Caenorhabditis elegans: one gene and its partner. The protein of the gene in region 1 purifies or fractionates together with the protein of each later gene. This does not show direct contact. Each region holds a gene or a part of one and is shown in the gene's direction. Other genes may lie near its edges. The genes, in order: crtc-1 and crh-1.

The links.
Region 2: the proteins of crtc-1 (region 1) and crh-1 purify together in Caenorhabditis elegans (affinity purification with western blotting, with the first as the bait; one study listed by BioGRID). This does not show direct contact.

What each region holds. Positions count from the first base shown.
Region 1 is NC_003279.8:2,024,358-2,032,327, forward strand, and holds the start of crtc-1 (CREB-regulated transcription coactivator 1 homolog), read left to right. Parts: upstream 1-1,958; 5' UTR 1,959-2,055; coding exon 2,056-2,157; intron 2,158-3,467; coding exon 3,468-3,545; intron 3,546-3,848; coding exon 3,849-3,980; intron 3,981-4,031; coding exon 4,032-4,237; intron 4,238-5,316; coding exon 5,317-5,655; intron 5,656-7,292; coding exon 7,293-7,770; intron 7,771-7,970. UniProt on the Caenorhabditis elegans protein: Transcriptional coactivator for crh-1, the homolog of vertebrate transcription factor CREB1. Regulates the transcription of metabolic genes and may have a role in mitochondrial dynamics and metabolism. Involved in modulation of lifespan.
Region 2 is NC_003281.10:11,681,241-11,686,240, forward strand, and holds the start of crh-1 (CREB homolog crh-1), read left to right. Parts: upstream 1-1,721; coding exon 1,722-2,188; intron 2,189-3,969; coding exon 3,970-4,063; intron 4,064-5,000. UniProt on the Caenorhabditis elegans protein: Transcription factor. Transcriptional activity probably positively regulated by phosphorylation. Modulates expression of target genes, acting by binding to regulatory cAMP response elements (CRE).

The sequences.
Region 1 (7,970 bases):
CTAGTTCGGTAAAACTCTTCCATCTCAATTCATTTGTTTGGTACTGACAGGTAATCTGAAATAATAAAAATAAAAATGTTTATATTACCTAACTTTATTTTTAGTTGTCTAGAACACTGCTAAACTTCTGCCATATATCAGGTTTTCTAGGCCACGGCCACGTTTTTACCAAATTTTTTACATAAAATTTAAATTATATGTTGCGAAAATGTTAAATATCTAGACTTGCTGAGAAAACCCTATAATTTCAATCTTTTTGTAGTTTTTGTTATTTTTCCGGCAAAAAAAAAAACTAAATCTCTCCTAAATTTAGCGCTGAGCACTTCCCGAAATAAGTGGTAAACGTCTCTCTCACTCATTTCGGAGCGACACACACACACACAACGCCCTTAGCCTTATCACATGCTCTTTTTTGTCTTTTTCTCTAAGTCTCTCACCGGCCACCACCATCTATTCTCTCTCTCTCTCTCTTTCTGCTTTTTTTTTCTTCTTTTTTTATGTATGTGTCAGCTTCCTTGATTTCCTCTTTTTTCAGCCAATTTCCAGCTTATTTTTAGATTTTTTTAATTGCCACGTGGCAATTGCTCTTTTGTATAGCTTTTAAAAAGTTAAAATTTTCAAAAAAAAATTATTGATGAGTCATTTATTTAAATTTGTGTTGAAATATTTTGTTCCGTTAATTTTTTTCAAAAAAATTGTACACGTGGAGTACACGAGCCTTTTTCAAGTTTTCTGAAAAAAATTTTGGCGGGAATTCAAATCTTCTGAGAAAAATTTTGGCGGGATTTCAAAAAAATTTTCTGAAAAAAATTGAATTTCTAGGCCACGTAGAAAAACTGATGGCCTAACTTATCATTAATCCTAGGCCACAAAGAAATCTGACCTAACTTCTATGTATTCTCGGCCATATTGTGCAAAAACCTATTTTCCAGGCTAAACTTTTCTTGGTCACGAGGGAAAATCTCAGGGACCTCTCAACTAATAGCCTAACTTCCCAAAATCAACCAGTTTTTGGTGGCCGAAGTTTTCAAATTGTTCTGCCACTTGGGAAAATTAAAGAAAATATTGATGACCTAACTTTCCCTAAACCTAGGCCACCAGAAAAAATCTTCTCTAATTTTAGAATAAGTTTCCAAAAGTCGAACTTTCGAAATTTATCTGCCACATCTAGATTTTCTAAATTAGTTTGCCTCTTTTTCAGGTGGCCTAACTTTTCCTAAAACTAGGCTACAGGGAAAACTCAAAGGCCATCTTTCCAGGTGGCCTAATTTTTCAACTTCTTAGGCCACAAGGAAAAATCTTCTATATTTTTTAACCCTGGGTCGAACTTTTCCACTTACTCCATGCCTAACTTGATAAAATCCCAGGTAACGGGGTTCTGGCCTTCCTCATTGAATTTTTCGCGCTCCATTGCCAATCGCCCGCCGGACTGGGAAAGTCGTGTACTCCACACGGACAAATACATTTAGTTTTACAACTAAAATGAAGCTACGACGCGCTGTAAATCTACTCCAGATATGGCCGAGCAAAAATGGCCTAGTTCGGCAAAAACTCTTCCATTTAAATTTATGAGAAAATCCATGCCAGGTCACGTGGGGATACCGTTGATGTTCCTGATGGCCTAATTTTCCAAAATACTAGGCCATAAGAAGATAGTGGCCGAACTTTTAAATTTTATCGGTCACGCTGCTCTCCTCGGCAAAATGAAATTTTCTCGCAATGCAATGTTTCCCAAATTTCCCCCATACTACTCTCGACACATTTTCCGATTTTAGATATATATATATATATCCTTGTGTGCATGTGTGTCTAATCTCTGAAAGTGCTCTCTCTCTCTCAAGGCTTCTCCTCCACCCTCACCTCCTCCTTCAGCTCTCGGATTTCATTTTCATTTTCTGATCTTTTCCCGTCTCTCTCTCCCTTGCTCGTTTTATTTTACTCATTTCAATCACCTGCAGGAAAAACATCGAAACATTTGAATTCTCCATCTGAAATTTCCCCCAAGTATAGCGGAAATAGACCGACGAAATCGCTCTCTCCCTGGGAGCGATGCGAATGTCAAATTCGAATACACCACGCAAGTTCAGTGAGAAGATTGCAATACTCGAGAGGAAACAGAATGAGGAGAATACAACGTTTGAGGATATTATGCGACAGGTTTGGAAATTAGCTATATATATATATATATATATATATAATGCAAAATTTGTTTTTCTAAATTGCGTTTTTATTTGAAAATTTAACATTTGTTGAGAACTAACAAAAAATTAGTAAAAATAATTTTTTGGGCGAAACTAAAGAAATTTAACAGTTGTACCAGGGGTGGGCGCAACTGCCGTTCGGCAAATTGCCGGTTTGCCGTTTGCCGGTTACCAGATTTGCCGGAAATATTTAGAGGGATTTTTTATAAGACGGAAAAATCTAAAAACGTTTTCTTTAGATATTTTCATATAATATGCTTACTTTTCAAAATAGATGTAGGAACATTCATAGGATGCGTTTAATTTTGCCATTTGAAATTGAAATTCTGAAATTTCCAAAAAATAGTGCGAAACCACAATTTGCCGAAAATTTTCGGCAAATTACCGTTATTCTGGCGAATTCGGGAAATCGGTAATTTGCCGGTTTGCCGATTTGCCGGAAATGTTTAATTCCGGCAATTTGCCGATTTGCCGGAAAAAATCGTTTGCCACCCGCCCCTGACAAGTTATACTCGAAGAATTTTTTTTTTTCAACTTTTTCATAAACTCATCAAAGTCATGACTTTCAATTTTTTAGTATCAAAAGCGGATAATAGTTACTTGAAAAATATAATTGTCTCGAATCGAATAATTAATCGAAAAATTGGAAATGTCTACTGAAATAGCGCCAATTGTTTCAAAACATTAAAAAAAAAAACTAAAATAAAAAAAAATTCTAAATTTTATATGAGTTTTTGAAAATAGGCAAAATCTCCGTTTTTGCCACTTTTTTGGAAGTCGTAGATCAATAAAATTTTTATTTCATTTTTATAGTCTACTTGTGCTTCAAACATTAATATTTTCAAATTTTCGGCAATCGACAATTCCGGTAATTGCCGGTTTTGTTACTTTCCGGCAATCGGCAATTTCGTCGATTGTTGGTTTTGGAAATTTTCGGCAACCGGTAAGTTTGGAAATTTCCGGTTTTGGAAATTTTTGCCAATTGCCAAAAATGATAATTTCCGGCAATTTCTGGAATTGCCGGTTTTGGAAATATCCGGCAATTTCGGCAATTCCGGCAATTGTTGGTTTTATGGATTTTTGGCAATTTTTGGCAATTTCGGCAATTGCAGAAAATTGAAATTTCTGACTATTTCGGCCATTTCGGTAATTGCCGTGTTTATGAATTTTTGGGCAATTTCGGCAATTGCCGGTTTTCAAAATTTTTCGCAATGACAATGGCCGTAAAAATGTTAAGTAGCAAGATGCCAATATTTTTCTATTCAGGTGCAATCAATCACCCATCATCCGACGGATTCATCAGGATCATCGACGGCAACTGCACCAATGCCCATTCCGCAACAGGTAAGGCGAATCTACAAAAGTGAAAATAATTGTGGAAATATAGAAACATATTTTTTCTGTTTGAAAATAACATCCATTTTCATCGAAACACTTGAAAAATATCTCAAAAACTGCCTGAAACTTTCCAAAGAATTTGCCTTTTTTTTTTAGAAATTTTCAGAACGTCTCATTACGGAATTTGGTAGTTTTGTATCATTTTAGGTCTAAAAAAGCAAAGTCTCAAATTTCGGTACTCCACCTTTAAAATCAAAATGTTACAATTATTCAAATGTTAGTATAAACTATTGAATGAACATATTCCAGGGTCTCCTTCCACCTCAACAACCATGGGGTCACAATCTCGGAGGATCCCTGCCGAACGTCCATCAAATGCCATCCTACTCTCCACCACAATGGCCACCAAATTGGCAGCACGAGATTCAACACAGACCTATCGTAAGTTTTTTTCCTAATTGTAAATCTCTTCAGCAACGAACTCCATTACAGCAAGGACATCGAAGTCGATCACCAGAGGATCACATGATCGGAAGTGCATCTGGATCACCATCACATCACTATCATCCGTATGGAATGAGATCGAATGGATTATCACGATCGCCCGATCGAACGCCTCCCCAACACCCGCAGTATACGCCCTATGGACCCCCGTATAACCAACCTGGACAGCTTGTGCCGCCCGAGTCGTGGAATCAGTGAGTTTTTGAATTTTGATAAATATTTAAAAACTGAGTTTTTTTTCTCTAAAAATCAGCGTCAGCGAGAAGTTTTTTTTTTAATTTCAAATGCAAATTTTTGCGAACTACATTTTTATACTTTAATTTTGCCTTAATTATTCGTATTAAAACATTGTATTTTTTCTTTATCGATTTGAATCTTTGACAACAAACGGGATATTATAAAACGTTTATAAATAGTTGAAAATTGTTTTTTGAGTAGACAGTTTTTTGTCAAATAACTGGTTTTGGAATTACAATCCAAAATTTGGACTTTTTCAAAACGTGTACCTAGCACACTTCCAATGGCCGTCGTAGCTCAGAAATGGGTATAGATGAAACAAGGTGGCCAAATTTTTTGAAATTTTTTTATTTACTGTCAAAAGGTGGCAATTACTATTTTTACATTCAAAAATCCAAAAAAAAAACCAAAAAATATTGATGCTTGAGTTTATTTTTAATGGGTTTATTCAAATAATGTTGCAAAATGTATTAACATACATGTTTTAATGGATTCTGATACAGTTGTGACGTAATTTTTCTACATTTCAATTTTCCGACACTACTTGAATAACCCTACTAATAGAGAATAGTCACGAGTCGAGACTCGACACGGCAAACATTTTTTGGATTTTTTGGACTAAAAAAAAACCAAAAAATCAATTTTTAGATTTTTCGAATTAATTTTTCGCAAAAAAAAACCAAAAAAACCCTGCTTTGCATGTTTCTAAAGTTACAGCCGTTCAAAATTTAAAAACTCATTTTTGCAAATATTTTTCATCACTTTAATGACACCAATACGCAATGACTGAGTCTGTAATTTCACATAGTAATTTAACTAACAAAACAAAGTTTTGGAAAAAAATTCCGAACCAATTTTTTTGATATTCGATTCAATATTTATTTGACATTTCACAGCCTTTTTCACGAAAAAAAAACCATTTTTCTACCTAAATTACCCGTATCCGAAAGTCGGGCAGTCTTGTTGCAAATATTCGCTGAATTTAATCCTTTAATATATATATTCGAAAAATCAGAGCCAATTTTTGACCTTGCAGAATCAATCGTGCACGTTCGGATCCTGCAATTCATAACATGGGCGGTATGGTTCCAATGCATCCACATCACCATCAACAACAACAAATGGCATTTCATCAAATGCCTCATTATCTTCAAAATTCGATGCCTGGACCATCTGGAATGATGGCTCCGAACAGTCAATCACAACAACACTCACCTCAGTTAACACCTCAAGGATCGCAGCAAGGATCACCGGTTCAGATGCATCATCAGATACCTCCACCATTACAAATGGGCAATAACCAACAAATGGGCGGAGGCAATAATGGAATGTCACCGTTACAATCACCTAATCATATGATGACACCTATGTATGGGTGAGTTGGTTGCAAAGTTTAAGTGGCCCGGGGATATAAAGTTGGAGATTTGAACCACAAAAAATGCGGGATTTTTTCCCCAGAAAATAGTGACGTCAGCACGTTCTTAAGCATGCGAAATCAGTTGAGAACTCTGCGTCTCACCTCCCGCATTTTTCGAAGATCAAAGCTAAATGGGACTTTCTAACTCCACGTGGTTGCAAAGTTTACGTGGCCGTGGCGTGGTGGCCGAGTGGCCGAGTTTTCCAACCAAACTTTTTGAGCAATTACCCGTAAAATTACGATTTCAGCATCTAATTTTAAGTGCCGACCAGCAAAAATCTTTTTAAAAAATCAGCCACCAATTTTTTACACAGACACTTTGCACGGGGTTCTTTCTTTCCTCATTAATACTTTTTTGGAGTTTCTATGCCATCAAAAGTTTTTAGGCCATGTTGAAATTTCTAGGCCGTCCCATATTTCTAAACTTTTCTGTACTTCCTAGGCCACCTTTCAATTTTCCAGGCTCCTAAAATATTATTTTTCACGGGCTCCGGCCTTCCTCACTGAATTTTTCGCGCTCCATTGACAATCGCCTGCCGGACTGGGAAAGTCGTGTACTCCACACGGACAAATACATTTAGTTTTACAACTAAAATCGAGCCGCGACGCGACACGCAACGCGCCGTAAATCTACCCCGGCCGTGCCCGAGCTAAAATGGCCTAGTTCGGCAAAAACTCTTCCATTTCAAGTTTTGCAAAATTTTTACAAAATTGTGTTATATTCGTAAAATTTCCAATGGGACTGATATCAGCAGTTTCGTTTGAAATTGCCACGTGGCCGAGTTTCCCTATTTCGGGGCCTATTTCCGGATTTTTTAGAACACACCAATAACTGCTACGTGGCCGAGTTTTCTCTTGTAGCAAATATGCCCGGCCACGTAAATTTTCGAATAAAAAATAACAGAATTCAGTAATTTGGGCGATTTTCTCGAATGAAAACCTTTAAAAAAAGTAGATTTTCGGTTTTTTTTTTCTGGCTTCCCTCATAAATTGAAATGGAAGAGTTTTTGCCGAACTAGGCCAGGCCATATTTGGGGTAGATTTACGGCGCGTTGCGTGTCGCGTCGCGGCTCGATTTTAGTTGTAAAACTAAATGCATTTGTCCGTGTGGAGTACACGACTTTCCCACGCGTTGTCCGGCAGAAGATTTCCAATGGAGCGCGAAAAATTCAATGAGGAAGGCCAGAACCCCGTGTGCAACGTGGCCGAGCTTTTTTCAAGGCCGCGTGGCCTATTTGTTTATGAAATCTGAAAAAAAAAAAATTTTTGGCCGGCAATTTTTTTTTTTGGAAAATCTATCTATCTGGTTTTTTTTCAAATTTTTCATCATGCCCGAGTTTTCAGTTTTTGCGGAATTTAAAAAACCTTTCTCATTGAATTTTTCGCGCTCCATTGACAATCGGCTTCGGGAAACGCGTGGGAAAGTCGTGTACTCCACAATGACACTGAAACCGAGCCGCGACGCGACACGCAGCGCGCCGTAAACCTACCCAAGATATGGCCTGGCCTAGTCCGCCAAAAACTCTTCCATTTCAAAATATGAGGGAAACCTAAAAAATGACACTTTTTCAAACGATAATCCGCATACTTTCCAGGTATCATAATGGCTCACCACTCCATTCACCGATGGATTCACCCCATGCCTCAACATTAATGCTCGATGGATCAGGGACACCCTCTCCGTATATGGAAGTAAGTCCTCCCGGAATGCATGATTTCAATCAAGATGCCGGAAGTTTACCCAATCTTCAAAATGTGCAACAGCAGCAGCAACAGCAACAGGAAATTTATACAAACGGGGGAGCCCCTGGTGGTGGATACTATCATGCTCCAATTGGACCAAGACATAGTACAGGTGCATGTGGTCCGAGGCTAGTACCCGGTCCAGCGTTGACACCCGAATCACAGTCGGCGCCGACGTCACCGCATAATCAATTGGATCCGAATCAACCGCCCATGTGGCCGACGAGAACATTCTCCAATTCACCGGAGGCATTGGATATTCCGAAATTGACAATTACAAATGCTGAAGGTGCACCTGGGCATCATGTTGATTCGTATAATGATTTTAATGTAGGTTGTATTGAATTTTCACGTGGTGTCAGATTGCCTCATTTCGGCTTGATCTACGTAGATCTACAAAAAAGGCGGGAATTTAAACGCAGAGTTCTGACGTCACATTTTTTTTGAGCTAAAATTTCCCGCATTTTTTCTAGATCAAACCGTAATGGAACAGCCCCTCACGTGGTGGCAGGCTGTCCCTTTACGGTTTG
Region 2 (5,000 bases), on another chromosome or scaffold:
GGAACCTACAGACTGATTCGACGATCGTTTGAAAAAAGGCAACTTCTGATTTGTTCGACAAACTTGGCCACTCTTTTTAAGTTTTAAAATATTCGGTGAACTGCAAGTTGTTTAATAGCCGAATTCTAAAACAACACTGTTGCCAATCAATATATTTATTTCCCAGAACCCATATCCCCCAACAAAACACAAATTGCGGTCAACTCTATCCAAAGAGCAACATACTCTTTTTTTTTCTCTCTGAAAAGAGGTAGAGGACAACAAGTTGTGGGTGGTGGTGAGATATCTCTTCGTCTTCCGCTCTCTTCAATATCTCACTGAATTACTCGAGTAGAGAGCTGGTGGTGGTGGGGGCGGAGTCAGCAGCCATTACCACCCCCACCTCAAAAGAGGGGGGGGGGGGGAGGAAAAGAAATCTGATATGGACCGTTTTCCCTCCATTTCTCTTCTTTTTTTCAACATCATCATCATCATCTTGAAGGTGGTTCTTGTGCCCCTCTCTCTGTGTATGTGTGTGTGTGTATGTGTGTGCTTGATTTAATTAGAAATGAGCACCCGACCTCCACCCTCAGAACATTGGTTTTAGGTCGTCTCTTCTCTGAATACTAAGCAGATTAGCAGCAGAGAGTCTTTCTGTGCTATTGGATGTTTTGTAATCAGCACAACTTCATAGACTTCATAGATCTTTTTCTATAGTTTCCAAAGTTTGGTTTAAAGAGAATCTCACACCTCTCTTGGAATTTGAGTTTTTTATACAACTTTAAAGGTGGTTTAGTCGAATTTTTTTCATTGCCTTATTAGACTCAAAATTGTCTGAAAACACCGAATTTCATAATGAAGCATCTTGAAAACTTTTCATAAAAAAGTTATGACGGCTCAAAAAATGGCCTAAAATTAGTTAAAATTTGGAATTTGACCAACTTATCAATGTCGCAGCGGCAACATTTTTTTTTGAAATCACCGTTAAATTTTAAGTATACAAGTTGATTATCTTGCGTTTTAAACTTGATTAAGGTTTTTAAAAATCGATGGACGGCGAAACTTTTAATTTTTTAAATCCAAAACTCGCCGTCCATCGACTTTTAAATACCTTAATTAAGTTTAAAACGCAAGATAATCAACTTGTATACTCAAAATTTAACGGTAATTTCAAAAAAAATTGTTTCCAGCCGCTACGACATTGAGAAGTTGGTCAAATTTCCGATTTTAACTAATTTAGGCCATTTTTTGAGCCGTCATAACTTTTTTCTGAAAAGTTTTCAAGAAGTTTCATTATGAAATTCGGTGTTTTCAGACAATTTTGAATCTAATAAGGCAATAAAAAAATTCGACTACACCACCTTTAACCCCGCCCACTTCCTGGTTATTTCGCAGACTTTCTTCCATATTGAGCTATTCTGAATATAAATTTTGGAATTTTTTCTGAACTAGTTTGGATTTTGCGGTGTCAATTAAAGTTTTTTTGTAAAATCACTTTACTGATACTACCGACATTAAGACTATGACCTTGGGATCCTACTAAAGATATCATAATCACTAATTAGACGTTAATCCTTTATAGCAAACATCTAAATGATCAAACTATGATCTTTCAACATTCCCACGATGCCTTGCATTTTTCTCATGTAAGGAGTATGAAGCTTCTCACGTGGCAACTGCAGATCAACAAGCTTTGTTTTGCCAAATATTCACAAATTTGTAGGTACCCGCGGTGATTCATGATGGGACAATTTATATTAGAAATTTATAAGATCAGAATAGTCAGTCAGACACATTTATTCTCGAAATTAATATTCCATTCTTTTTTATCGTTCCTCTTCAATGATTTTTCACATCTCTCCGCTTCATTACCTCCTCTTATTGATCTTTCAACAAAAAAAAAACTTCTCGCACGAGCTTCAGAGGGCGCCACGTCTTCGTCTTCACCACTTCCACCGGCGTCGACGGCGACGCTCTCCGCGTTCCGACCGCCGGCAAGAATGATTCCGCCGCCGGTGGTTCTTCCACAGCAATATGCGCCACTGCCGGGCTTCACACCACTTTTGCCAGCTCAAGCAATGATGGCGAATTTCCCGCCAAATGCGCTCTACCAGTTAGGCACCCCACCGTTCGAGAATGGAAATAATCGGATTCGGTTCAAAGATGCTGCCATGGTCGTTCTGAGCAGACTATCATTTAATCAGAGAAGGTTAGATAATGCACATCAATGAGTCATGGTATTCTCATTAGCGTGAAATTTGAACACATGGGAATTAAAATATTCAAACCCCAAACCATAAGTACTAATCCTCTCGAAAGTTACCTACAAAAATCGTGCTTTTGTATTCAAACAAATAAGTATATATACATATATATATATATCTGCGTTGCGTTATTGACCATATTTATATAAAATGTTATTCAACCTCTGAATTTACATATTACTACGTTTTTAACACAATTATCAACTTAAACGTTCTCAAACTGTGAAAAAGGTTCGGAAGTAGTTTGAGGCCTATTAAAAAGTGTTACTACTTAGTTGATCACTGATATAATTAAAATATTATCCCAAACTTGAGGTTTTTTTGAAAAGGACACATAAATCACTAGTATTTTATCAATTACTCAATAAGAATCTCTGCTGAGCCTAGACCTAGCTAGCAGCCGAGCCTAGCTGCTAAGCCTAGGCATATCGATCAGTTTAGAAAACCAATTGCGACCCGGTTGCTCGTGTCAAACGAGCTCCCATTTCCGTTCCCCCGAAGATAATCGGTTGACCCACCACATTCGAGTTGCTCCGGAGTCCGGATATCCTTCCGGAACACCTTCAACATCTATTGTTAGTGCTCTCCGGGCTCTGCGGAAAAACACGTCGTCGTCGTCAATCAAACGTCATTGACCTCGAAAAGACATTTGGGTTCTCGCCGCTTGGTGCATAAATAAAAAATTTCACACACACTATGATGTGAGCATTTTCGAGTTTTTGTATCAAAATGACGCACTTTTGAGTCAGTTAAAGCCGATTTGAAGCCGCTGTGATGAACTGAACGAAATTAAAACATATAGAATACAAAATGATTACAACAATCAGTCAGAAGTGTGAATAATAATGCTATATAGTAAAGGATAATATAATTTTATATAGATTTTTATTAAAAAATGCAATAAAACATATTAGACATGCCGTACTAATAGAGGAGTACAAGTAATTTAGAAAACTATTGAATTTTCATCGAAATGGTTCTCTCTGGTTTTTAAACTGAAATGATTTTTATCGAAAAATAAAGAATTTGAAATTTCAGCGTTTTTTAAAGGCGCATAGGCGAAAAACGCAAAATTTAGCAGCTGAGTATTATTCAACCCATTATATTCAACCCAGGGATGGGCTACAAAGGATTTTTTTTCCGGAAAATCGGCAACTTGCCGGAATTGAAATTTCTGGCAAAACGGCACATTGTCGGAATTTAAATTTGTGGAAAATCGGCACATTGCCGGAATTTAAATTTGTGGAAAATCGGCAAATTGCCGGCAATTAAGATTTCCCGCAATTTGCCGAATCGCCGAATTTGTCGACAAAAAAATTTGTGAATTTCAAAATTGCCCATCTTGCTAATATTTATTCGTCACTCATAAAGTAATTAAAATTCTATTTTTAAAAATTTCTCTCTCATCGCGACGTAAGAAAACAAGACACAAGGTGTTGTACCTGATGACGTCACTGATCATTTTCGTTCATTTTTATCAGCGATTATCAGTTTCTCCACCGTCTTTTTTTGCCACCCCGCTGACGTCATAGTTTACTCCTTTTTCCTTCAGCGGCGCGGCACTGCAAGAGATGCGAATTTAAGTTTTTTTGTTTTGAGTATTATGCTTTTGATGGCTGAAAATGTCGACGAGCTTGTTGTCCAGGTAGGGTGATAGTGATTGAAATTTTTTAGGTTCTCATTTGAAATATTAAAGTGTTAAAAATAATAAAATCAATAATTTCAGCATGATCCTCAAAGATCTAGAAACGGCGGATAAGGTGATGAAGAAGGAGCCGGAGGAGACGCCGCCGTCCAGTGTAGATGCTTCACCATTACAGGTAATAAGGATAGTCTAGAGCAGGGGTGCGCTGGGATATTTCGGCATTTTCTGGGTTTTGAAATTTTTAAAAATTAGAAATTTCGGAATTTGATGGTGTTTTTAAAATGATATATATATATCATTTACTATATATAAAGCGCTTATTCCGTTTGTCCATAGTTTGTAGTCTATGTAGTTTTTGTAGTCTGTGAAGTTTTAGCTTCTGGAGGGATAGTGAGTTGGGCTTAGTGTAGGGATATAGTCGGGGTACTGTAGTGGTACAATAATGGTACAGTAGGAATACTGTAGGGTTACGGTAGTTTCAGAAAAAATATTTTTCAGCCCCAGAAGCCGGGGGGCTTCCATGGTAGGCAGGCTCGGTTTCAGGGCCTGCCTGAAACCTGCCCGCCAGCCTTTCGCCTATTTTCTGCACTTTGACGTGAATTTTCAAATTTGCAAATTTCTATTAATTTGTTAAAAATCAAATTAAGAAAGGAAAACAATGTGCATTGTTGTGAGGCGAGAGGCATGCCAAGGCCAGGCAGGCAGGCGTTCTAGCGCCTACCTAGTTAGTTGCCTTTGAGAGTTTTGAACTAGAAAAAAGTTGGTCAGAAAAAAAAATTCCTGACTTTTTTTTTGAATGAAACCTTAAATTGTAGAAATTGAAGGACTAAACAAGCACGTAAATATACAACACTAACTTAATTTTTTTGTTTTAAATTTAAATTCCATGCCTACGGGTTTCCGTGGAACGATTAAAACATAGGGAATTAATATGAAAAAAAAACACTGAATACACGAAAATTGAAAATAAAAAGGATGAGCAATCCTCATTGTATATTTACGATTAAAGGTGGTGTAGTCGAATTGTTTTTATTGCCTTATTAGACTCAAAATTGTCTGAAAACACCGAATTTTATAATGAAACTTCTTGAAAACTTCTCAAAAAAAAAGTT